Caenorhabditis elegans: one gene and its partner. The protein of the gene in region 1 purifies or fractionates together with the protein of each later gene. This does not show direct contact. Each region holds a gene or a part of one and is shown on either strand. Other genes may lie near its edges. The genes, in order: Y76B12C.3 and pbs-5.

Region 1 (12,179 bases):
GGCTACTCGATATTGTGTAGAAAAACCAAATTATTCAAGCTTTAAGCTATATTTTTGAATTCAGCTCACTGTGAGCTTTGATTTAAGTATAATCATGACCAGGCTCCGACGAAATTTAAAAATCGGGTCTCGCCACGAAAACTGCAAAAGATTCGTGACGAGACCCGAGAAATTTCAAAATCCTTGGAACCTAGTCATGATTATACTTAAATGAAAGCTCTCAAAACTAAAATAAAAGCTGAAAATTTTGAAAAAGTCAATATTTTTGCGGTGAGACCTAAAATTCTCATTCTTTCTACAATTTTCACATTTCATATTGATTAATGCTCATATTTGAAATCAGCTTGCTGAGAGCTTCAATTTAAGTATAATCATGGCCAGGTTTATCGAAACTTTTTTGCAATTTTGCAATTTTTTGCAATTTCAATTTAATTTCAATTCAATTTAAGTATAATCATGGCCAGGTTTATCGAAACTTTTTTGCGATTTTGCAATTTTTAGGGTCTCGCCACGAAAACTACAGAAGCTTCGTGGCGAGACCCGAGAAATTTCAAAATCGTCGGAGCCTAGTCATGATTATACTTAAATGAATGCTCTTGGAGAGCTGAATTCGATTTTCTTGATAAAAATAAAAATTTTTTTTGATAATTTTTTTCTTCAAATTCCCAAATTTCAGTGTCTCCTCGCGTGCACCCGCCGTGCACTCACCTACCCACTCTACCGTAGCTTCCAACTCACGCAACGTGTCATTCAGGACGTTTGCCACGTCATCACCGCCGGCGGTGGCCGTCCCGCCCTCCTGCACATTCTATGCGATTTACACCGAATTTTCATCGAATCCGGAGAATTTCGCTACATTTTGAACGATTTAATGATTGCCGACTACATTTTCTGGATTCAAACTGTGCCCGACGAGATTCTGACGCGAATTCAGACGGATTTGACGGAAATTTCGGGAAAAATCGATAAATACGATATTGGATGGGATTTGGAGGTGTTGGAAGCCGAGGCGAAACTGGCGAATACTCAACTTGACAGCGATGATGAGCCCGATAATTGATATGATTTTTAGAAAAATCGATAATTTATCGATTTTTTTTTTCAATTTTTTTGTTATTTTCTATTATTACCCACATTAATTGATTTTTCCGCTAAAAAATCGATAATTTCACAATTTTTTCTGTTGTTGCACACTTTGTTGAATTCTAAAATAATTACTCAATTTTTTCTCCAAATATCGATTTTTCGGGTTCGAAGCTCCTCACTCTACCTTTTTTCACCGATTCATTGATTTTTCAGCTAGAAAATCCGATATTCTTACAGATGTCAAAGCATCTCTACAAGCAGTACGTCAGAATCGCCGGAAAATGGCCGAAAGACGCATTTCGGGCGCCGGAAAGGTAGGGTTATACGCGACGCGACCGCAACGCGCGCTTCACTAAAAAATAATCAATAAAGTATCGATTTTTCCGCTAAATCTTCGCTAAAATCTACAAATTATCGATTATTTCCAAAATTGCCCTTTTTCAGAGACTTCTCCAATTTCCTCGTCAAAGAAATCGAACGGCAATTCCAGCCGGGAGTCGTCGCCTCTCAAGCGATTTGCGAGAAACGTCTTCAGGCGCTCGAGCAGCTGCTCAACAACGAAGTGCTCAAAAAACACCCGAATTCGTACTCCTCCGGCGTATTTGGAATGCGATTAGCCGATCTACAGGCGGCCTCGAGTGAAGAAAGCCGAAAACAGATGGGTCTACAGCCGAAAGTATCGATTTTCAAGCGATTATATCGATCCGTCGTGCCCGAGAAGAAATAATCGATTTTTATTGGATTTTTTTAGCTTTTTGAACGATAAAATTGCTTTATTTTCTGATTTCCCGTATTTTTCGATCGAAAACTTAAAAAAAAAATGTAAAAAACAGTCCGCTAAACAGGGCGCGCAAGCGGAATATCGGAGTGTCGTTTGTGTTTTGAATTTTAAAAATTTAAATTTTTGTTTAGAATTAATTTTTTTTGATTGAAATTTCGGTTTTTCCGCGGTTTCATCAGTTTTGTAGTGAAAAAACATTAAAAATAGCGGTTATTCATTAAAAAAAATCTAAAAATGATCGGCTGTTTCGATGATTTTTACGAATTACGCGCGTGAAATTTTAATTTTGTAGCGAAATTTGAAACTTTTCCAACCGAATCGCTTATTTTTAAGCGTTTTTTTTGTTAACTGTTCGCTATAAAAAATAAAAAATTCGACAGAATATCGGAACATCGTTTTTTTCCGAAATTTTTATTTTTAAAGCCAAATAGTTTATGAAAAATCAATAAATCAAAGCGAATTATTCATTTTAATAAAGGGAAAAAGTTCACAAAATCGTGCAGCACACCTTCTTCTTCGCCCGTATATCTTTAGGCTTTCGCTTTGTCGGCGGCGGAGGGGGGGCCGGTGGTCTCACTGAAAAATCAATAATTGATTTTTATTCTGAAAAATCGATAATTTACCCTTTTTCTTGGCGCTGCCGGAGGTGCCGGTGGCCACGGCAGCCTCCTTTTTCGTCTTTTTCATCGAACTTTTCTCCTTTTCCGTGCTGGGAGTCGTCGAGTTCTTCGTTTCCGTCGATTTATCGATTTTCTCCGTTTTCAATCGCTCTCGATCCCTCAGCTTTTTCTCCTTTTTCAACGCTTTCTTAATTTTCAAAATTTCCTCCTTCGATAGGTCCCCTTCGTCTTCGTCCTTTGATTTTTGCTTCTTTTCCATCGTTTCCTTCTCCCTTGGCGCCTGGAAAAAGGAGTAGTGAGTGAAATTTTATCGATTTTCTGTAGCAATTTTCAATATCGATCCACAACGATACATTTTCTTGTGAAAAATTACGCAAAATTATCGATTTTTCTACGAAAAAAAAATCGATAAATCCAAAAAATCTACGGGAAATATCCTTAAATCCTTTTTCACGGCCATTCGTCGATACACACGTGGTGCCACGTTTGATCTACCAAAAATGCGGAAATTTTTTGCCCAAATTATGTGACGAACTCCAGTCGGGACATGTAGCTGTGGAGATGATGAGGGTGGCCTAGATCACACTACCTAACCTGCAGTAGATCGAAGCCGATCCTGAAAGAAAATCTGTGGACGTCCCCCAAAGAAGCCGCCCGTGCCCTCGGGCTGGCCTATAAACCCTTCGATCCGGGCGGTGGAGCACATACGGCGGGCGTCTAGAACGGCGCTAGCGCCGCGTTGTTGCACAACAACAACAACAAAGTTGAGAACTCTGCGTCTCTTCTCCCGCTTTTTTTGTAGATATACGTAGATCAAGCCGAAATGATACACTCTGACGCCACGTGCACTGAGAGAAAAAATCCGAACAGCTCACGTGGTGTCGAGCTGACCGCGTGATCTACAAAAAATGCGGGAAGCGAGCCGCAAGGTTTCCCTCTGACGTCACACTTTTCTGGGCGAAATTTCCCGGATTTATTGTAGATCGAGCGGTGATGGGACAACCTTACACCATGTGGCAGCTTTGCAATTATCGATTTTCATTTGATTTTTCCATATAAAAATCAATAAATCAGACCTCTTCGAGTTCATCCTTCGTCTTAGTCTTCTCTCTTTCCTTCTCTTTTTCCTTCTCCTCAGTGACTTCCTTCGGTGGTTTTTCCTCCTTTTCCTCTTCCTTTTCTGCCTCTTTTTCCTCCTTATCCGCCTCGTTTTTCTCATGGGTTTTCTCTTTTTCCTTCTCTTTTTCCTTCTCCTTTTCCGCCGCCTCTTTCTCCGATTCCTTTTCCTCAAATTCGTCGATCAACTTGGGCCCTTCACGTGGCTTAGAGGGCACTTTTTTCGCCCGTTTTTTCTTTTCCGGAGCCCAGTCATCAATCTCACTCAGTCCGTCTGTCATATCATATCCAGGCTTTAGAATTACTTTACCCGATTTCGTGCACTGTGGTTGCTCGGCGCGGTGTGCTTCCATTTTTGAATCTGGAAATTTATGGCTCAGAATTGTTGTGGAGGCCCGTAGAATTGCTATGGGAGCACATTTTGCTGATTTTTAGGCTTAGGCTTATGCGTGGCCTTAGGCTTAGACATAGATTCATGCTTAGGCTTAGCCTCGAGCTTTTGCTTATGGTTAGGCAGGCTTAACTTTAGGCTTAGGCTTAGGTACAGGCTTAGGCTTAGATTCTGGCTTAGGCTTCGACTTTGGCTTAGGATTAGGCTTTAGACTTTAGGCTTAGGCTTTATGCTTAGGCTTAGGTTCAGGCCTAAGGTTAGGCTGAGGGGGGGGGGGCTTAGACCTAGACTTATCGGTGTCTGGGGAGAAAAAAAATTAAATCAAGAAATTTCAAGATATCAAAACTTTCTCTCAGCTATAAAAAACTTTAAAATTCTGCGAAAAAGGCTTTTGATGAGAATTTTCGGCAAATTCCCGGAAACATACGCTGGCCGAGTTTTCGCTTTTCCTAGGCCACCTAGAAAAGAAGCAAAAAAGTTACCTTTATGTGAATCGGTTTTGACTTTTCCAAGAAATCAGATTTTATCCTCGCCGTCTTTCCGCTAGCCGAGAAGAAAATAACAATAAATTTATTTTCTCACAGGTTGTCGGTTTTTTTTTTTTGAAAAATTTGAATTCTAAGTTCAATTCGAAGTTCAAAATGGCAATTTCACGGAATAATTATTCAATTTTTGTTGAAAATTAATTTTCTAGATTTAAATTAAAACATGCATTCAATTTGTCCTCTCTGAAGTTGTTCGGTTTTTGCGCCAGAAATACGGTACCAGGTCTCGACACGACAAATTTTTGTTAAATGGAAAACATGTGTGTGCGCCTTTAAAGAGTACTGTAATTTGTTGTCAAATACATTTTTATCGAAAAACTATTAAAAATCGATTAAAACCCCGAATATTTAAAATGACAGTACTCTTTAAAGGCGCACACCTTTTAGAATGAAAAAAAATCCTGTCGAGTCGAGACCCAGTACCGTATTTTCATCGCAGAAATCGAAAAATCGATAGTTTCCGACATTTTCGTGCTTTTTACCCAATTTTCCCCCCGAAAAATATGGATTTTTAGCTATATAAACTTGTACTTTTCCCCTATTTTCCCTCCCGTGAATGGGTTCCCTCCAAACTTTGCCCAAAACTGTCGTCAAATATGGTGTGGCGGTACCCGGCGGTGTTTGCACTGCTGACGTCGATTTGAGCCAATTTTGGAGCATTTTCCACGTATTTTAATGGGGATTTTCACTCATTTTTCATGGATTTTTTGCTATTCCAAAACAAAACAAAAAAAAATAAAAATTTCCAGCAAAATGTGGGTGATTTTCCTGCTGCTGGCCGCCGTGGTTTCGCCTATGTTCGGTGAAGTTGAAGAGTATAAAATTGATGTAGAGGAGTGCAAGGCGGCGGGATTCAATCCGGAGACTTTAAAGGTTTTTCTCCTGAAAATCTTGGCAAAAATCTGAAATTTTCGTAAATTTTCAGTGCGGATTATGCGAACGACTATCGGATTATCATCTGGAAACGCTGCTCACCGATTGTCTTCAGTGTTGTATTAAGGAAGAAGAGTTTAAGCACGAAGTACGCTTTAAAATTGGGATTTTTTTGTGAAAAAATCGATTTTTCCCGCTAGAAATCACCCAAAAATCGATTTTTTTTAAATTTCAGAAATATCCAACGGCAATTCTGGAAGTCTGCGAGTGCAATTTGGCTCGATTCCCACAAGTTCAAGGTGAAAATTGATTGGAAAAAGAGAATATGGCCCGAAAAATACCTCAAAAGCGAAAAAAACTAGCTTTTCACACTAACTGTCGATGATTTACGCGGCTCGTGTACTCCCCGAGGAGAAGATTTTGTAGTTTTTGGCAGAAATTCTTGATTTTGAGCCATTTTTGTTAAAATGTTTCGTTTTCAACGTTAAAAATGCTAATTTATCCTTATTTTTAGTATTTGAACATTAAAAAATGCCCGAAATAAGGGATATTTTGCCAAAAAAACCATAAAATCCTACTACTCGCGGAGTACACACGCTGCGTAAATCTACACGGGGCTGTGCTAGAGCTCATTTTTCTGAAAATCGAAAAATTCTGTTTCCCTATTTTTCGAGAGGATAAAAATCATTTTTCCAAGAATTTTCTGAAATTTCTCTATTTTTAGAAAATAAAACTATTTCATTCGAAAAGAAAGTTTCTGCCGATTTTTTGAAAAAAGTTTTTAAAAAAGCGAAAATATTATTATTTTTCCCTGAAAAATGTTTAAAAAAACTAGCTTTTCACACACACACGATGGTTTACGCGGCTCGTGTACTCCCCGAGGAGAAGATTTTGTAGTTTTTGGCGGAAATTCTATTTCAGATTTGGAACCATTTTTGTTGAAATTTTTCGTTTTCAATGCTAATTTATCTCTATTTTTAGTGTTTGAAAGCGAAATTCTGGGTAATTTTGGTGAAAAACAAGAAATTCTTATAAATACCCCGATTTACACGTTCAAATACTAATAAAAGTGAAAAATTTGCGATTGAAATTTAAAAAATTAGCGAAAAATGACCAAAAGCGAGTTTTTTTTTGCCGAAAAACCATAAAATCCTGTTTATCGAGAGAAAAAAGGGTAAAAAACTATTTTTAACAGAAAAAGTCTTAATTTTTTACGATTTGCTCGGAAAAATTTCGAAAATCGAAAAAATTTCAAGCTTTTTTTATTTTTATTTTTCATCAAAAACCCCGATATTTTCATAGAGCCATTAGGCCATTTGGGCTCGGCCGGGGTCGATTTACGGCGCGTTGCGTGTCGCGTCGCGGCTCAAAAAAATAATTTTCCGTGTGGAGTACACGACTTTCTCTTTTTTTCATTTTTGCAATAATAATTTTTATGATTTTATTCGAAAAAAACCGAAAATCGAAAAATAAAAAAACTTTTTTTTAAATTTTTCAGTGAAATTTTCAACACCCAAAAAATCAATAATTCCAGCATTCGTCCATAAGGATATGGCTCGTCAATTCGGTGGAAAAGTGAAAGTTAAGCATGTACGAGGTGTCCGACCACAAGTTGCACTGAAAGATGCCGATTTTAAGACAAAAGAGGTGCTCAGCGTTGAGAAATGGGATACCGATACGCTCATCGACTTTTTCAATCAATGGCTCGAATAATTTTTTGTTATTAAATTCGATTTTCACCCCATATTTTCCTGACTCTCTCTCTCCATGTTTTCACTGGTATTTTTTAAATTATTTTCCAATTTTTTTTGCTGTAGTGGGCTGGTTAATAAAAGCAACAAGGTTCCGATATTTTCATTTTTCACATTAATTTCAGATTTTCATCACGACTCTTCTAGAATATTCCAAGCTTCTCCCTTTCATTTCATAATTACATTATCCTCCCCCACAGGGAGAAGGAACAAGTAAAATGAGAAGAAAACTAAAAATAATCGAATTATTACTGACTATGAGCTACAAATAGAGCTATAGTGGACCACTTGGCTCCAGTTTTGCCGGAAATTGATTACCTGAGCTCAGGCGCCTCCTGAGCCATTTTCGGCTTCTAATTGCCAGTTTGCCGGTTTGCAGGAATTTTTCATTTTCAGCAAATTGCCGGTTTCGCCAATTTGCCGGAATTTTTCATTTTCAGCAAATTGCCGGTTTGCCAATTTTCCGGAAATTTTAATTTCCGGCAAATTGCCAGTTTTCTGATTTGCAGGAATTTTTCAATTCCGGCTAATTGCCGGTTTGCCAATTTGCTGGAAATTTTCATTTTCAGAAAATTGCCGGTTTGCCAATTTGCCGGAAATTTTCATTTCCGGCAAATGTCAAGTTTTCTGCTTTGCTGGAATTTTTTATTTTGGGCAAATTGCCGGAATTTTCATTTACGGCAAATTTCCGTCTTGCAGGAAGTTTTCAATTCCGGCAAATTGTCGGTTTTCTACTTTGCCGGAAATTTTTATTTTCGGCAAATTGCAGGTTTGCCAATTTGCCGGAAAATTTCAATTCCGGCAAATTGCCGGTTTTTCGATTTGCCGGAAATTTTCAATTCCGGCCGATTGTCGGTTTGCCAATTAGCCGGAAATGGCCATTTTAGCAAATTGTCGGTTTGCCAATTTGCCGGAAATTTTCAGTTCAGGCAACTTGCCGATTTTCCAATTTGCCTGAAATGTTCAATTTCGGCAACTTGCCGGTTTTCCGATTTGCAGGAAAATTCCAATTCCGGCAAATTGTCGGTTTTCCGATTTGCCGAATATTTTAATTTTCGGCAAATTGCCGGTTTGCCAATTTGCCGGAAATTTTTATTTTCGGCAAACTGCCAGTTTTCTGCTTTGCCGGCAATGTTCATTTTCGGCAAATTGCCAGTTTTCCAATTTACCGAAAATGTTCATTTTCAGAAAATTGCCGGTTTTCTGCTTTGCCGGAAATTTCAATTCCTGCAAATTGTCGGTTTTCCGATTTGCCGGTTCATCAATTTTCCGGAAACTTTCATTTTCGGTTAATTGCCAGTTTGCCGGAAGTTTTTATTTTCGGCAAGTAGCCGGTTTTCCGATTTGCCGCAATTTTCGTTATAATTCTGAAAATTTCTGCAATTTAGAGAATTTCGGCGCACATTACGGGAACACAAAGTCCTGAGAATGCGTATTGCACAATATATTTGACGCGCAAGATATCTCGTAGCGAAAACTACAGTAATTCTTTAAATGACTACTGTAGCGCTGTTGTGTCGATTTACGGGCTCGGTCAGCGATATTCGATTTTGTAAGGATTCCACCCTTTTCACTTCTCATTTTACATAAATAAATACTAATTTATTTGTCTGTAAATTCTCTCTGATAATTTACAGAAAGAACGGACGAAATCGGTCGAGGACAACGATTTCTACAGCGAAGGCAATCCGCGAGGAGGAGAAACTCCAGTTCAAACCGCCGCCAAGCTACAGAAGGTCGCATTGTCGCGCCGAGACCCGTCGTCGTTAAAGGCTGCGTCTTTAACCCGGAAATGCCTATATAAGGAGAGGACGACGCTCATTTGTGATCATTTCTTAACTCTTTAACCCGTTACTTGTCGTTTTCCCTTTTCTCTCGTTTACTCTGTTTCGACGATGCAATTAGTCTGTTCCCTTTTACTTAATAAACCCTTATAAGATCGATCAGTGTGCGTGAGTGGCAGTTACATCCTATACCTTTATTATTTTCCTCCGGTTTCTTCGTATTATTTTCTTAATTTTCGCCTAATTTTAATATTCTATCGAGAAATAAATGATTAAAATTCATTTCATATATGGAGCCCGTAAATCGACACATCAGCGCTACAATAGTCATATAAAGAATTACTGTAGTTTTCGCTACGAGACATTTTGCGCGCCAAATATGTTGTGCAGTACGCATTCTCAGAATTTTGTGTTTGCGTAATAGTAATTCTCCAAAAAACTGTTTGTTCTAGTCTGAAAAATCCGTATAGGCTTTCACTAAATGGCCTCCTGGATAGAAAACTAGGCCTCCAAACTAGTCATCAGGTTCAAAGTTCCGAGAAAAAAAATTCTGCAGAACTCGATTTTCTAGAATTTCCCTGAAATATGCACAATCTTTAAACTGGGCAGGTGCAAAAACTTGCGTAATCCTCGATTCTTGAACTTTGAGCAGCTTCTCCTCGCCTGCTGCTCCTCACCTATTCAAACTTCACACGCCTCCTAGCCGTACTAATAATGGATGTAATTATCCAGTTTTTTTTCTTTTTTTCTGGTCGAGCGCAAATTAAAAAAAAAAATTTTTTTTAATGCGTGTACATTTTCCCGGAGCTCACTCACTCAAAAAATGAGCTACTTGGATTACACTTTTGACTGAATTGATGAATTCTAAATTCAGAATTCATCAGTGCCCTCCGCAACTAAGATATTCAGCAAGAGTAGCTCATTTCGACGGCAAAGCCAATATCATGAATATTCGATTAGAAGGAGCGTGTAGAGATATAAAACAACTTTTTTTTCTATTATGTGCTCTGGAAGACGGGCTCCGGCTCACGAATAGAGTCTATTTCCCCACCCGTGTTTTTTTGATTTTTCTCGGATTTTTTTTCAGTTCAAGCTTGAGGCTCAAGCTCAGAAGCTGTCGAAAACTCGAATTCCTTTAATTCATCATTCCTTTCGGATTACTATAAATATGTTTGTTCTTCTTCTTCTAAGCTCTGTGAAAAATAAATACATGTGCTAATGGCAGTTTGTCTTGCCATCCGTGTCAGTTTCAGTCGATCATGATGTCGTTTTTTTTTATGATAGAGTGCTCATTCTGTCGTATTTTCACCATTTAAAAGATACGCCAGTTTTCAGGCGGTTTTGGTGTCAGAGAGCCCCAGTTCGGATTGATCTACAAAAAATGCGGGAAAAGTGACGCAGAGTTGTCAACTGATTTCGCATGATTAATAACTTTCTGACGTCACATTTTTTTTGGGCAAGGATCTCCCGTATTTTTTGTAGATCAAACCGTAATGGGACAGCCTAGAGTACCCCATTTCGGTTTGATCTACGTAGATCTACGAGAATCGCGGGAATATTGGCGCAGACTTCTGAACTGATTTAGCGTGCTGACGTCACAATTTTTGGGAAAGAAATTCCCGCATTTTTTGTAGATCAAACCGCGATAGGACAGCTTGACACCACGTGGAACCTCGTTTCCAGAATTTCGAGTATTTTTTGTCGGAGTTATGGCGGAGTTAGACAGTTTACCTTATCACGGGTTCGCAAAGCTTGGAGAATGCGTATTGCGCAACATATTTGACGCGCAAAATATCTAAACTACAGTAATTTTTTACATGACTACTGTAGCTCTTGTGTCGATTTATGGGCTTAATTTTTTGAAATTAATTGATCAAATATGCTGTGCAATACACATTCTCAGAATATTGTGTCCCCGTAATACAAGATTGTTGAAAAAACGGAAGTTTTCGTGACATTGAGTTGAAGCTTTTGGAAATTCTTTGAGTTTGTAGACGGTGTAAGGGATAGTAACGGGGGGTCCCGTAGCAGTCGTGGTGGTGCCAGGCTGTCTCATTACGGTTTGATCTACAAAAAATGCGGGATTTGTTTGCTAAAAAATGTGACGTCAGCACGTTCAAATCAGTTGAAAACATTGCGTCTCTTCTCCCGGCATTTTTGTAGATCAAACCTTTTTCAGTAGCACAGATACGAGAATTCCTGCCAGACCCGAAAGTAGGCAGGCACGTAGGCATTTTAAAAATGCCTACTTCTTATCCCAGAGACGATCCATTTGGAGTTCTCCACAGTTGAGATGTACGGAGCCAATTTTTCCACGTTTTCTTTTGAGTTCTCACTATAGAAAAGCCCAAACAATGTACACGTGGTGTCAGGCTGTCCCATCATGGTTTGATCTACAAAAAATGCGGGAATGTTTTGCCCAAAAAAGAATGTGACACCAGAATGTTCTTGTTGACAACTCTGCGTCTCTTCTCCCGCATTTTTGTGTAGATCTACGTAGATCAAGCCGAAATGAGACACTCTGACACCACATGAATGTCGAGATATTCCTTTTTAGCTGAACAATCATATTTCTCTTCTGGTCTTTCCAATCTCTCTTGCAAATTCCCATAAACCAATTTCCAGATGCATTTCCAAATTCAAGCACTCATCTTCGCCACGCTTCTCCTCATCCCAACAGAGCAGAGTGTTCCAGAAGGTGTTTCAGACGATAAGGAGATTGCAGAACCTTCATGGAAGAATATGGATGACGGCGACGAGGCAATGTACTATGTCTCGCCATCTCTTGAGGACCGCCACAGCCTTTATCGTGATCTTCGTGAGTCTTACGACGATTTATCGATTTTTTTGGTGGTTATATATATTTTTTTGCAGGATCAATCCGCGGAAGATACTACAAATCATCATTCCCATACTACAAGGGACTCGGAAGAAAGTGAAAATAATCATAAATGTTTTGTTGAATAATGTATTTATAAAGGTTTTTGTCGTGAAAAAAAAATAATTAGATTTTTCTCCTAATTTCAGGAAATTACGATGAAAAGCTATGAAAATTTGGAAAAATTTGCTTTTTTTGTCCTCGAGGAGAAGATCGTTCAGTTTTTGGCTAAAATGCTCTTTTTTAGAGATTTAAAGTTGAAAACATGGGTTTTTGCCCTTTTGAACGTTAAATTCGAAATAAAAAACACCGGGGTTCTGGCCTTTCTCATTGAATTTTCGCGTTCCATTGACA
Region 2 (11,561 bases), on another chromosome or scaffold:
GCAACTGTAGAAAAATTTCAGTTAGGATAATTTCAAACTTTAGTTGTAAGAAGGATAAACCAAGATATGGGCGGAGCTTGCAAAACTCCACCCATTTCCTGGTTCAAAATTTCCAGTTTCTTTTCAAATTGAGTGAAGATTGTTTTATAAGAAAACTTGAAATTTTTGAGCTACCCCCCACTTCTTGGTTTCCCCTCAGACTTATGAAAAACCTACATTTTTTCACCGAATGTTTTTTTTTCCAAATCCAAAAAAAGAAGACGTTCATTTTCTCGTAGACTAATGTATTTTTCTGCCAAATTTCCCTGCCCCATTCTGCTCTCTCTCTCTTCGTTTTCCGTTAAAATGAAGAGCACCCACCAAAATGAAGGCGAAGAAGCAATTCCATCTTCTCGTCCTTTTCCTCTCTCAATTTTCGGGCGAGTGTATTCAGATGGAGCAGCTGAAGAAGAGCACACTCTTTTCCTTCTGAAGGTCCCTCCAAAAATGGATAAGTGGACAAAGAAGATGTAGTAGAAAAAGGAGAAGAAGATACATCGATTTTTTATTTCAATTTCCATTTTTTTTTCTCTTCTGCATTTTTTTTTTCTACATTTTCTAGTCTTTTAAGCCAAATATAGGTTTAGCTAGGCTTTCTGTTAGGCTTAGACCTAGGTTTAGGCTTAGGCTTAGGTCTATTTTGAACTTTTTTCAATGCAATTCCCGATTTTTAAAAAATATTTTTTAGAGTATAATTTTGCCACAAAATATTGATGGCCGAGCATTTTTTTTCAGTGGCCGAACTTTATATGTTCGCGGCCACGTGACTTGTATCTCATTTGATCTTTTCTTTTTGGTGTTTCAGAAAATTTAAAACCTTGACCTACCTGATACACTGGCCGTGAAATTGTGAAAACTCGGCCACCAATTTTCACGCGGCCACGTGGCTCTTCCAAAAAACCAAAAAAAAATTGGACAATCTCTACTTTCTTTTCAAAATTTGTTTCCTTCAAAAAATTATCTTTTCTGTCCAAAGAACAATAGAAAACTTGAAATTTCTGGAAAAAACAAAAACTAATTTATTTCTAATTTTTCTGTGGGGATTATTATTCATACCAAATTTTTCTATTTTTTCAGATGGTAAAATGATTGAATATCTGTTATTCATCATTATCAACGTCATCACACTGATCACATGCTCATATTGTCCCATAAAGCATATTCATTCGTCTACACCCACTACAGGTGAGCTCTGGAAGTTTCCATAGAACATTAAAAAAAAATGGTGCAATTGCAGGATTCATTGAATCTCCGGGATATCCATCGGCATTCTCTGCACCTCTTGACTGTATATTCAACATAACAACAGCTGCATCGAATGTGATCCAATTATCATTTGTCTCATTTGATCTAGCATCAAAAAATCAATTAAGTGATCAATGCCTGGATAGTTATCTTCTGGTTGTTGTAGTTGATAGACATGGTAGACAACATGTTGGTGAGAGGTTATGTGGGAATCAGGTTCCACTGTCTATTAATACTATGCAATCATGGATGCAAGTTCAATTCGTCACTACTTCAACTAATCAGAAGCATCGAGGGTTTAGGATTCAGTACAGGATTCTTTCGGAGGGTAGGTAGAGCTGGAAACTAGTATAATTTTTTTCAACCAGTTCTTTGTAGACAACTTTTCTATCTTGTTTCTTTTCAATTTCCCATGCTTCTTGCGAAGTTCTAGCAAATTTTCCCTTTAAAAATACCATTTCCAGCAGCAATCCAGGAGCCATCTTCAACCCTCGGAGAATCAATGTTCAGTGGTTGTGGTGGACATTCCACTCCTGGACAACTTTCTGGTGAGGTTTTAAGAAATTTGTAAATTTTTGCCACATGGCTGCGTGAAAAGTTGGGGACCAAGTTTCCTATTCTCGCGGCCAAGGGTGTCAGTGTCCCGTAAAAATTACAAAAACGGGACAACGGGAATTCCCGTTCCCGTGAAAACGCTCAAAAACGGGACAAAAGACGTCCCGTTCCCGTAAAAATGACAAAAACGGGACAGCGGGAATTCCCGTTCCCGTGAAAACACCCCAAAAACGGGACAACGGGACAAACGGGAATTGACACCCTTGCTCGCGGCCACGACACCTTCATGTTTCGAAAAATTTTGAAGAGGAAAAGTGCTTTAATTGGTGGCCGAGGTTTGTTTCTTTCTAGGCTACGTTGCAAAAACTGTTACCTTACTACGTGGCCGTGGAATGAAAATACTCGGACACCAGGTGATTTTTTTTTTTGAAATTTCAAAATTTCAAAATCTATAAAACTATTTCTGTAATGGTGCGTCCATAGTCTGCGGAAAACGGGAATTTCCCGCGTGCGGAAGCGTCCATAGTCTGCGGAAAAACCGTAGTTTCCTCGCTTTTTTTTCCTCAAAATTCAAAAAAGTAGGCGTGGTCTTTTTTCGCTTTCCCATTGCTCAGCTTAAAATTTTACAACCTCTAATTTGTTGGACACGCCCACTATTTTGAAATTGACCAATAACAAAGCGAGAAACTCCTTCTTTTTTCCGCAGACTATGGACGCTTCCGCACGCGGGAAATTCCCGTTTTCCGCAGACTATGGACACACCATAAGAAATTCAAAAAACTTAAAATCTGAAACTTCTACATTATACAATTATAATATTCAGGTGAAATACTGTCACCAGGCTATCCAACCACATATCCGAAGAATTCCACGTGTAATTGGTTGATCCGTGTAGAAGCCCGACAACGAATCTACATTCGAATAGTTCATTTACACTTGGCCCCCACTATTGCAGAATGTGAACGAGCATCACTAACAATAATCGATGGATATAAACATGAAAAATATGGAATTGATCGAAAGGAATCCACGTCAGAGACGTCTGAAGCAAAATTCTGTGGAAGTCAGCTGTATTATGCAGAAGAGGGAATGAAAAGCTATTTATCAAGTGCAAATCGAATTGTTGTACGATTTATTACACAGGAAGGACCACCGTCTTCAATGATTGGGGAAGAGAGGATTGGATTTAAAGTTGTATGGACTGCAGTGGAGGGTCTGATTGGAGAAGGTGATGAGAGTGTTAATGGAAATTCTTGTAAGGATCAATTTATGTGCCATGGGGGACAAGTTTGTGTTGAACAGGTTTGTGAAAAATCAGAATGTTTTCAATGAATCTATATGTAGTTCCTTGTTATTTTTTAGAAATTAACTTGAATCATAAATTCAAAAAAAAAGAGTTGTTTAATTACAAAACTTTTTATTTAATCCAAAATTTTGGGTTAGTGTAGTCACTAAAGTACGCAAACGGAACTACAGTACCCAAAAACATCCCATTTCACGACATTTGCTAGTTTCGAGCTGGAAAATTGATTTTTGAACGGGAGAAAACATAAATTCGACAGTCTGAATATTCGAAAAAAAAGGAGAAATTCTAAAGTTGAACAGAACCTATTTAGAATAAATTTTGTTTTGTAAGAAAAATTAATTAGCCTTTTCGTGATTTGTATTTTTGATATTTAACAAATTGAATTGCCACAATGCTGAAATCCATGTATTTTCAATTACTTTTTTCTACTTCAGGGTCATGGAATTTGCGCTTCACGGTCCCGTCTCTGCATTCACAGCTCTCTCGTTTGTGACGGAATCCATAATTGTGTTGAAGGAGATTTCTCCGACGAGCAACACTGTAAGCTCATTTTCCAGTAAAATCCAAGATCTAAAAATTTCCAGGTTACTCCCGAGAGATAATAACATCGGCGGCACTCGGATTCTCGTTGATTGTGCTCACGATGCTCGTCTTGGTGTGCTGTGATCAGTTCAGGAAGCGGCGACGGCTTCGGGTGATGATTCGGGAACGAAGAGCCGCGTCGGAGAATGGGAAATGTAAAAATATGAATAATAATTCGATTACAACACGGATACAGCCGAACCGGTGACTATTAGAGAGCGAATTGTGAATGTTTTCGCGATTCGCTCGACAAATTTATCGAATTTTTCACAATTTTATAATTTAAAATTGCTTTTCAGTTAATGTAACGGAGCTTTTTTCTTTTATTTTTAATTTGAAACTTTAATAAACATTATTCAAACATATAAATTATTTACTTTCGACAATTTTCAAGTGTTTTGCCTGGCAGAATAGAAAGAATTATGGAAATATTAATTCTTTATCAGCGGGAAAGTAAAAGAAAAATAACGGCAACTCCGTGCGGCGATATTGCGAAAACCGCGCGCGCGCATTGCAAAGGGGCGGAGACTCGTCTTTTTGTCATCTTTTGTCATCACTAAAACTAACTAAAACAAAATTTTCTATATCTTTCGCAGGTTTTCGCTTTTTTAACGAGTTTTCTCATTCTTTCTATGGAAATACTGATGAATGTGTAGAGTTGGTCGATATTGGGACCTGTGAAATTTATACTTTCAGCTCAGATGTTATTCTTCGCTGTTTCTTCTTAATTTCTCTTTTTAATCACTTGAAACTCAATTATATCTTTATTTCAGCTCACTTCAAGCGGGAATGTCATCACGAGGAGTTCGAGCGGCGGGTACCGATGGGACGGACTTCCAAAATCGGCAGAGGGTCGCACAGCACTACCAGGAGAGCGCTCAATACAAGTCGATCCTCAAGTGGTTCTTCGTTCCACACTTCTTGATCCTGGTCTTCATGTGGCTCAAGGTTGGCAGCGAACTCCTCCGAACAAATTTCGGATGGAAAAACGCGTTCTTCGATCGACTGGACATGCCGTCAGCCTACCCATGGGAGTATGTGTGGTGCTTCTCATTCATTCCGATCGTCCTCGCCATCTATTCGTTCCAACGAAACAAAGTAATTTATTTATTGATCAATTTGCCACAAATATAACTTCTTATTTCAGCTCAAGATCCTCCACTACGCCTACTATGCCGAGTTCGTCGTCGGAATCTTCCCATGCATGATCGGGCTTGGAGGACAACTTCCAGAGCTGATGGAGTATGCTCAAGACATGGAGGGAAGCAACACACCGACATTCAAAGGAATCTTCCCGATGGTCATCATATGGTACATCTTCTTCGCGGTCGCACTCCAGATTCACGGATTCTCCATGTACTTCATGCATCACCTTGCCGCCGCATGGGCTCCAGTCAAGCGAGATTAAATTTTCTCCGTTTTGTGATATTATTTTTCAATTTTCCCCCATTTGTTGAGTTGTGTACCTTTTCCTTGTTAATAGTATTTTTATTCAAATTCCTGCTAGTCTCTATTGCCAAATTAATAATTCCATATCTTTTATTTATTTTCTTACTTTTTCTAATTACCGGTTACTGTTCTACAGTTCCGTTGATACTTTTCTGTTTCAATATTGATTGCATTTGTTTCATTTTGTTAAATCAATTTTCAGAATCGAACTCCAAAGATGTGGGGCGAGACATTCGACGATTTCGAGAATGACGAAGGAGAGATGGCAATGGCCAAGCAGAACCTGATCGCCGAGCCGGCTCGAGCTGATTTCACTTTCGCGAAGCTTCCGTTGGGAATCCAGCCCGTCGATTTCATGAAGACTCACTTCGCCGAGACCGCCGGAAAATCCATGCAATTCCGCAAAGGAACCACCACATTGGCGTTCGTCTACGAGCCAGCAACTCCAGCTGACAAGGGAGGAATCATTGTGGCTGTCGATTCACGAGCCTCCAGTGGTGAATACATCTCATCCAAGTCGGTCATGAAGATCTTGGACATCGGAGATCGTATGGTTGCCACGATGGCTGGAGGAGCTGCTGACTGTCAGTTCTGGACCCGAATTGTCGCCAAGTACTGCACGTGAGTTTCAATATTTTCAGCTTCAAAACAAAAATAATTATTTATTTTCAGTTTGTACGAGCTCCGCGAGAAGACCTCAATCACCGTGAGCGCCGCGAGCAAGTACTTTGCAAATACGCTCTATGGATACAGAGGACAAGGATTGTCAGTTGGATCGATGGTGGCCGGATACGATAAGAAGGGACCACAAATCTTCAAAGTCGACTCGGAAGGAGATCGTTGCCAGCTTAAAGTGTGCTCAGTTGGCTCAGGATCTCTGAATGCCTACGGTATCCTCGATAATCACTACAAGCCAAAGATGACGGACGACGAGGCCAGAAAGCTCGGCCTGCGTGCGATCATGCACGCCACTTATCGGGATTCTGGATCCGGAGGCGTCTGCAATTGTACGTGAAGCTTTTTGCTCGGCTATTCCACAAAATGGACCATTTTTCACTAAAAATGGCTTTTATTTTGTCTAAAATTTAAATTTTAGACGATTTTTATTCGAAAAAATTCTTCGGATAAATGAAAAAATTGGTTCATTTTGTGAAATCTCCGGCCACCTTTAATCTAATCGCTTCTATTTTTCATCCTCCAAATTTCAGTGTGCCACATCACGCCAACCGAAAAGATTCGTCTTCCACCAATGGACGTGAGCAAGCTGTGGTACGAGTTTGCCGATGAGCTCGGCAGAGATATCACCTACAACCCAGTCGAGTGATTCAATTTCCCTACGCTGAAATTAATTTTATTCTTCTTACATGTATTTGATGTCTGATCCGATCCCGATTTTTTTTACATACACACCCGTCTTTAAAATGTCATTTATTTCTATTTTTCGTTTCCAATTAATTTATTCTTCTTTTGCTAAATACTCTCTGTACATTAAGTTCTAAAGTTTTCAAGTTCGAAATCCCGAATTTAGGCTTAGAATTTAGAATTTCCCTCGACAACAGGGGTGGCTGGAAGAAACTCTCAATCACATGGCACAAATTGGATTTTTGGAACATTAATATCAAGTAGTTCTAGAGGGATACTGAGATGGAGTTACACTCAAAAGTTTATTGCAATTTTCGAATGTGAAAATCAAGTTAAAGCGATATGTGTCGGCTGGGTGTTGATGACGTGGTGATTATAACAGCTGGAGTCCCATTAGTGTTCCGCCACGCAGGGCCTATTCGTGTTCCAGCTGGAAATAGTTTAATTGTGCTATTATTTGAATTGTTTTTTTCCATTAAAATTGAGAAAAAGTGCGATTTTAAGAGTAATGGGTATCAGTAGGATCTAAATATTTTAGCTACCGTACCCAGGAATATTTTGCAACTTTCTCTAATTTTTTCGACAGCTTTGGATTGTACAGTTTTGGCTGAGAAAGTCAATGGGTAGTTCGAAATTTGCCAAAACTAAGTTTTCCGTAGATCAAACACAAAGGTTGCGCGCCAAATATGATGTTTTGAGTCCTCAATCGGAAAGTACGCAAAGACACACAAAATGCATCAGATTTGACGCGCAAACTTCATTTTTCTTGTTTGTGAAAAAAATATAATATTTTTTTAAAAACTTACAGGACATAGAAGGTGCCACAGATGCCCGTTCTATAAGCTCAATTTGCTGCTCTCTCCGCCTGGGAAGCATCGGACGGCGGCTCTCGGAGCCCACACTATCGCCAGCTTTATTATATATAATGGCACTGGAACGATCGAATTGTGGCTCCTTTTGCATATTATTTATAAAATGGTAACAAGCGGTAAGCATGACGCCCATGAAAATTCCAATGCAGAAGAGTAATCCGACAAGAATCCACGGGAAATCAGATGGCTTGAAGGAATAGGAACTTGGCTGGAAAAATCGAAAATTGGTAAGTGGTCAGCATGCGCGCTCTAATGTTAAAAGAAATATAAATTGTTGGTGTTGGGTCCTGCCGTTATCTAAATTGATATAAACATTTAAGCTACCATAGTCACGAATATTTTTTTTTTTTTTCATTTTGTTAGAATATTTTCGTCGTACAAACCGATAATCGGCAAAATTTTTAAAAAAGTTAAAAACTCTGTAACCGCGCTCCAATGATAAATAATAGAATTGTCGGGTCCCACCACAATCGAATCTTTTCATCTACCTTGAAATTTGCATAATAACAGAAATTGGAAAATTATTTGAAATTCAAAAAATATCTCATTTTTCAGCGGGAATTGGAATTTTACGGAAGCTGGCTTTTTCAGAGTCGATGCACCATGTGCAAAATTTTGACAGGGGATATCTCTTGGTTCATTTTGAAGGTACCAACAAATTTTTAAACTGCAAAATTATCTTTAAAAATTTGGCGTCAAATGTGGTGTATTGTGTCCACAAAGGAAAAATAACCGAAAACACTAGATTTGACGCGCAAATTCTCACCGTAGACGTTTGCTCTTTCTTCTGCGTAGGCGGTGGTGGAAGTGAAGCAGAAATGACACGTGAGCCACCTGGTTCGACGGCTTTCCAGTAGAATTCTTTGTTATTTATTTTTTCCTGTAAAAATAATAGTTTTCGATTTAAAAAATATGAAAGAGACAAACTTTAAGCCTAGGATCGGCGTCTTTTCCCATACTCTGAATAATTTCGGCCGCCAATTTCGGTGTCATTTCTTTTCCGCCACGTATCTCGTAGTAGTTCGTACCGTACTCATTGTTTCGTACCGCCTGAAAGTTTGAAATTAAAAAAAAAAAACGAAACCCAAAAAGTTGCACGTGGTGTCAGGCTGTCCCACTACGGTTTGATCTACAAAAAATGCGGAAATTTTTTTACAAAAAATGTGACGTCAGCCCGCTCAATGTGAAATTAGTTGAAAAGTCTGCGTCTATATTTCTGCGATTCTCGTAGATCTACATTGATCAAACCGATATGGGACATTCTGACACCACGTGTAGTTGTAGTAGAACTCACACTGTAAGTAGTATTTTCTGGATCTTCAGCTTCTGGTTTTTGGGAGAGTCGGACACTGAACACGTGCACAGAACAGTCTGCAAACTTTATTTGTTGAAAAAATCGCTTCGAGACCTAGAAAAAGTGCGGTATAGCGTAATTGCATACTTCGTTGAAAATTGCATGTCAAACATTGTGTATTGTAACCAAAAATCGCAAATTTGAAATCCCGTAAATATTTCGCTTCTTTCCAATAAAATTACTTGAAACTCAAATTTTTGCGGCGAATTGTAATGTGAACATCATGTTTGACGCGCAAATTTAAGAAAAAACGAACCATTAGGCGGCTGACACTGTGGAATAACAACAGAAAGTGCCGAAAGTACGGCGGTAAACAGAATAAGTAACATTTTCGGCTTTCTTCTCGAAATTTCAAAAATCATCACCGAGTACTACGGTGAATCATTATAGCTATATTGGTTTTAAAAATTTGAATTTGATTTTAAAAAAAGTTTTTTTTTGGAAATTCGTTTTTCTTTGAATAACAATCACAGTGCCGATGAAGAGAAGGAAAAAACCGAAAATAATATATAAAAGAAGTTACACACTCTCAGATAGACAGAAAAAGAGACATACATACACATTGATAAGGAAATCATCGGAAAATTGAGAGTGAGAGTGAGAGTGAGAAAGAGAGAATTAGAGACAAATAGTTGTAATTGATTGAGAGAGATTTGATATGTGACTGGTTATTTTGGTGGTCTAGAATATCAACAAAAAAAAACTAGACCTAAATTAGCTTGTTCCATAGCCGGAGACAAAAATTGCGCGTCTAATGTGGTGTTTTGGTGCGCAACCGGAGAGTACGCAAACACTGACCAAATGCACCAAGCGGAGCCTGCACTACAGTAACATAATTACTTATATATAAAACCAGACGCTGACCGCGCCCCCGGCGCATCCAACTGGCTGGAATAAATTTCAAATACCCCTTGAAAATAGCAGTGCAATTTTGAAATTAATTTGATTTTTTTGAAAATGAAAACTTTCAAAGTAACGGTAATTTTGCGTGTTGGCATAGCCTACATTGGACGGAAGGAAACTCTACTTTATATATATTATTATTATTGAATACGTTTATTTGAACGTGAAAATAAGAGAAGAAAAAGGGGAAAAAATATAAATTATATTGAATATTGTGGAATAATACAGAAAAGTGGGAACGGGTTGAGGCCTTGTTACATAACCTTATCATTTATTAATGTGTCCAAAAAATAGGGATAAAGTCTGTGTCTGATGAACGAAAGTTAAGAATGATTGCTTTTTGCAGGGTTGAACACGATGAGTGAAAAAATGAGTTCGCTTTTAGGAGTTTTCCACCTGTAAGCGTGGCTGTTCCTAGTTCTTTCAGAAGGTTTGAACTCAAAAAACTGTGAATGATCTATATAGTAAATGATAATATAGCACGTGGGGATTATTAGGGGACATGGTCGGGGTATTGTAGTAGCAATGTAGGGGTACTGTAGGATTACTGTAGGGTTCCTGTGGTTTTAGAAAAAATGAGTTTTTGTCTTTTGCAGGGATATTGGTATGAATGGGGAATATGGTTGGGGTACTGTAGTAGTACTGTAGAGGTACTGTAGGATTACTGTTGGATTACTGTAGTTTTAGAAAAAAACATTTTTGTCTTTACAGGGATATTGGTTTGGTGGGGGGATATGATCGGGGTACTGTAGGATTACTGTTGGATTACTGTAGTTTTAGAAGAAAAAAAAGTTTTCGTCTTTTGCAGTGATATTGGTTTGGGGTTAGTGGGGGATATGATCGGGATACTGTAGTAATACTGTAGGATTACTGTGGTTTTAGAAAAAAAAAGTTTTTTTTGGCTTTTACAGCGATATTGATTTGGGGTTAGTGGGGGGACATAGTCAGGGTATTGTGGTAGCACTGTAGGATTACTGTAGTTTTGGAAAAACTGACTTTTCGCCATTTAAAGGGTTCGGTGTTAGTAGGGGAGCAATTGTGGAAAGAACCATCTTTCCGGGAATTCAAATTTTCTGAGAAAGAAAACGTTCTAGAAAAAATGGAAATTTCTAGAATTTTCTTGAAGGTCTGCAAAACTCCAGGAAAATGCGAACGGCTGGTAAAATACAATTTATTTGCAATAATAATTTTGAGATAAATTTAATTTATGGCTCTTTTCGTTTCGATGCCTGAGTTGATTATTCAATTGGGGTGTTCCATGGGAAATCCAAATTTACAAAAAAAGGAAATATATACAGTTTTGTAGAATTTGCGCGTCAAATGTGGTGTTTGGGTCCGCGATTGAAAAGTACGCAAACACCAACCCAATACACACAAATACATCAAATTTGGTGCGCGAGAATTGCAACAAAAAAAAATTAAAGAAAAATCAAAAATCAAAATTGAAATTCATTTCGCTGCTGACGAATAATCTCTCGAGGTGGAGGATCTGGCCGCTCGTGAGCCAATTCCATGGGCTCATCCGTATAGATTATCTCTTTTTCATTGAAGTTTGGCTCCTCGAGAATCTGAAAAAAAAAACTTGTTAAAATTTTTCAGGTTGCTGATCTGTAGAAAAATCAAAATCCTACCATTTTCCGGACGAAATGAATTCCAGCCATTTTCTTGTCATTAGTCGAATAATCGATATGAAGACCCTTCCAACCGGTGAATAGGTTACGTAATTCAGAGAACATTCGTAAACTTGATGAGCCTGGTATTTCTGTAATTATTGATTGAATCCTTAGTGTACATTAATTTCTGAAAAGTTTCTCAAAAACATCCAAAAATTTGCTCGTCAAATCCGATGTAATAAAAACACCCAACTTGACGCACAATTACGTACCCCCAGTAG

Evidence for each region.
Region 2: the proteins of Y76B12C.3 (region 1) and pbs-5 fractionate together in Caenorhabditis elegans (co-fractionation; one large-scale study listed by BioGRID). This does not show direct contact.

The regions. Positions count from the first base shown.
Region 1 is NC_003282.8:1,968,416-1,980,594, forward strand, and holds Y76B12C.3 (Selenoprotein F), read left to right. Parts: upstream 1-5,289; 5' UTR 5,290-5,292; coding exon 5,293-5,412; intron 5,413-5,464; coding exon 5,465-5,560; intron 5,561-5,647; coding exon 5,648-5,711; intron 5,712-6,946; coding exon 6,947-7,125; 3' UTR 7,126-7,267; downstream 7,268-12,179. Other genes in the region: shq-1 (Protein SHQ1 homolog), read left to right, coding at 677-1,060; Y48A5A.3 (Ubiquinol-cytochrome-c reductase complex assembly factor 2), read left to right, coding at 1,324-1,400, 1,531-1,813; Y76B12C.4 (Translation initiation factor IF-2), read right to left, coding at 2,355-2,443, 2,491-2,767, 3,564-3,956; nssp-37 (Neuropeptide-Like Protein), read left to right, coding at 11,573-11,765, 11,822-11,886.
Region 2 is NC_003279.8:14,714,295-14,725,855, reverse strand, and holds pbs-5 (Proteasome subunit pbs-5), read left to right. Parts: upstream 1-5,378; 5' UTR 5,379-5,393; coding exon 5,394-5,797; intron 5,798-5,848; coding exon 5,849-6,183; intron 6,184-6,384; coding exon 6,385-6,500; 3' UTR 6,501-6,689; downstream 6,690-11,561. Other genes in the region: K05C4.10 (uncharacterized protein), read right to left, coding at 217-560; sol-2 (CUB domain-containing protein), read left to right, coding at 1,125-1,224, 1,277-1,612, 1,749-1,832, 2,663-3,141, 3,580-3,685, 3,730-3,935; K05C4.2 (Protein jagunal homolog), read left to right, coding at 4,517-4,825, 4,875-5,135; Y54E5A.8 (Conserved plasma membrane protein), read right to left, coding at 6,871-6,968, 7,345-7,618, 8,177-8,290, 8,338-8,460, 8,705-8,781, 9,021-9,093; gid-1 (B30.2/SPRY domain-containing protein), read right to left, coding at 11,104-11,235, 11,299-11,429, 11,553-11,561. UniProt on the Caenorhabditis elegans protein: Component of the 20S core proteasome complex involved in the proteolytic degradation of most intracellular proteins. This complex plays numerous essential roles within the cell by associating with different regulatory particles.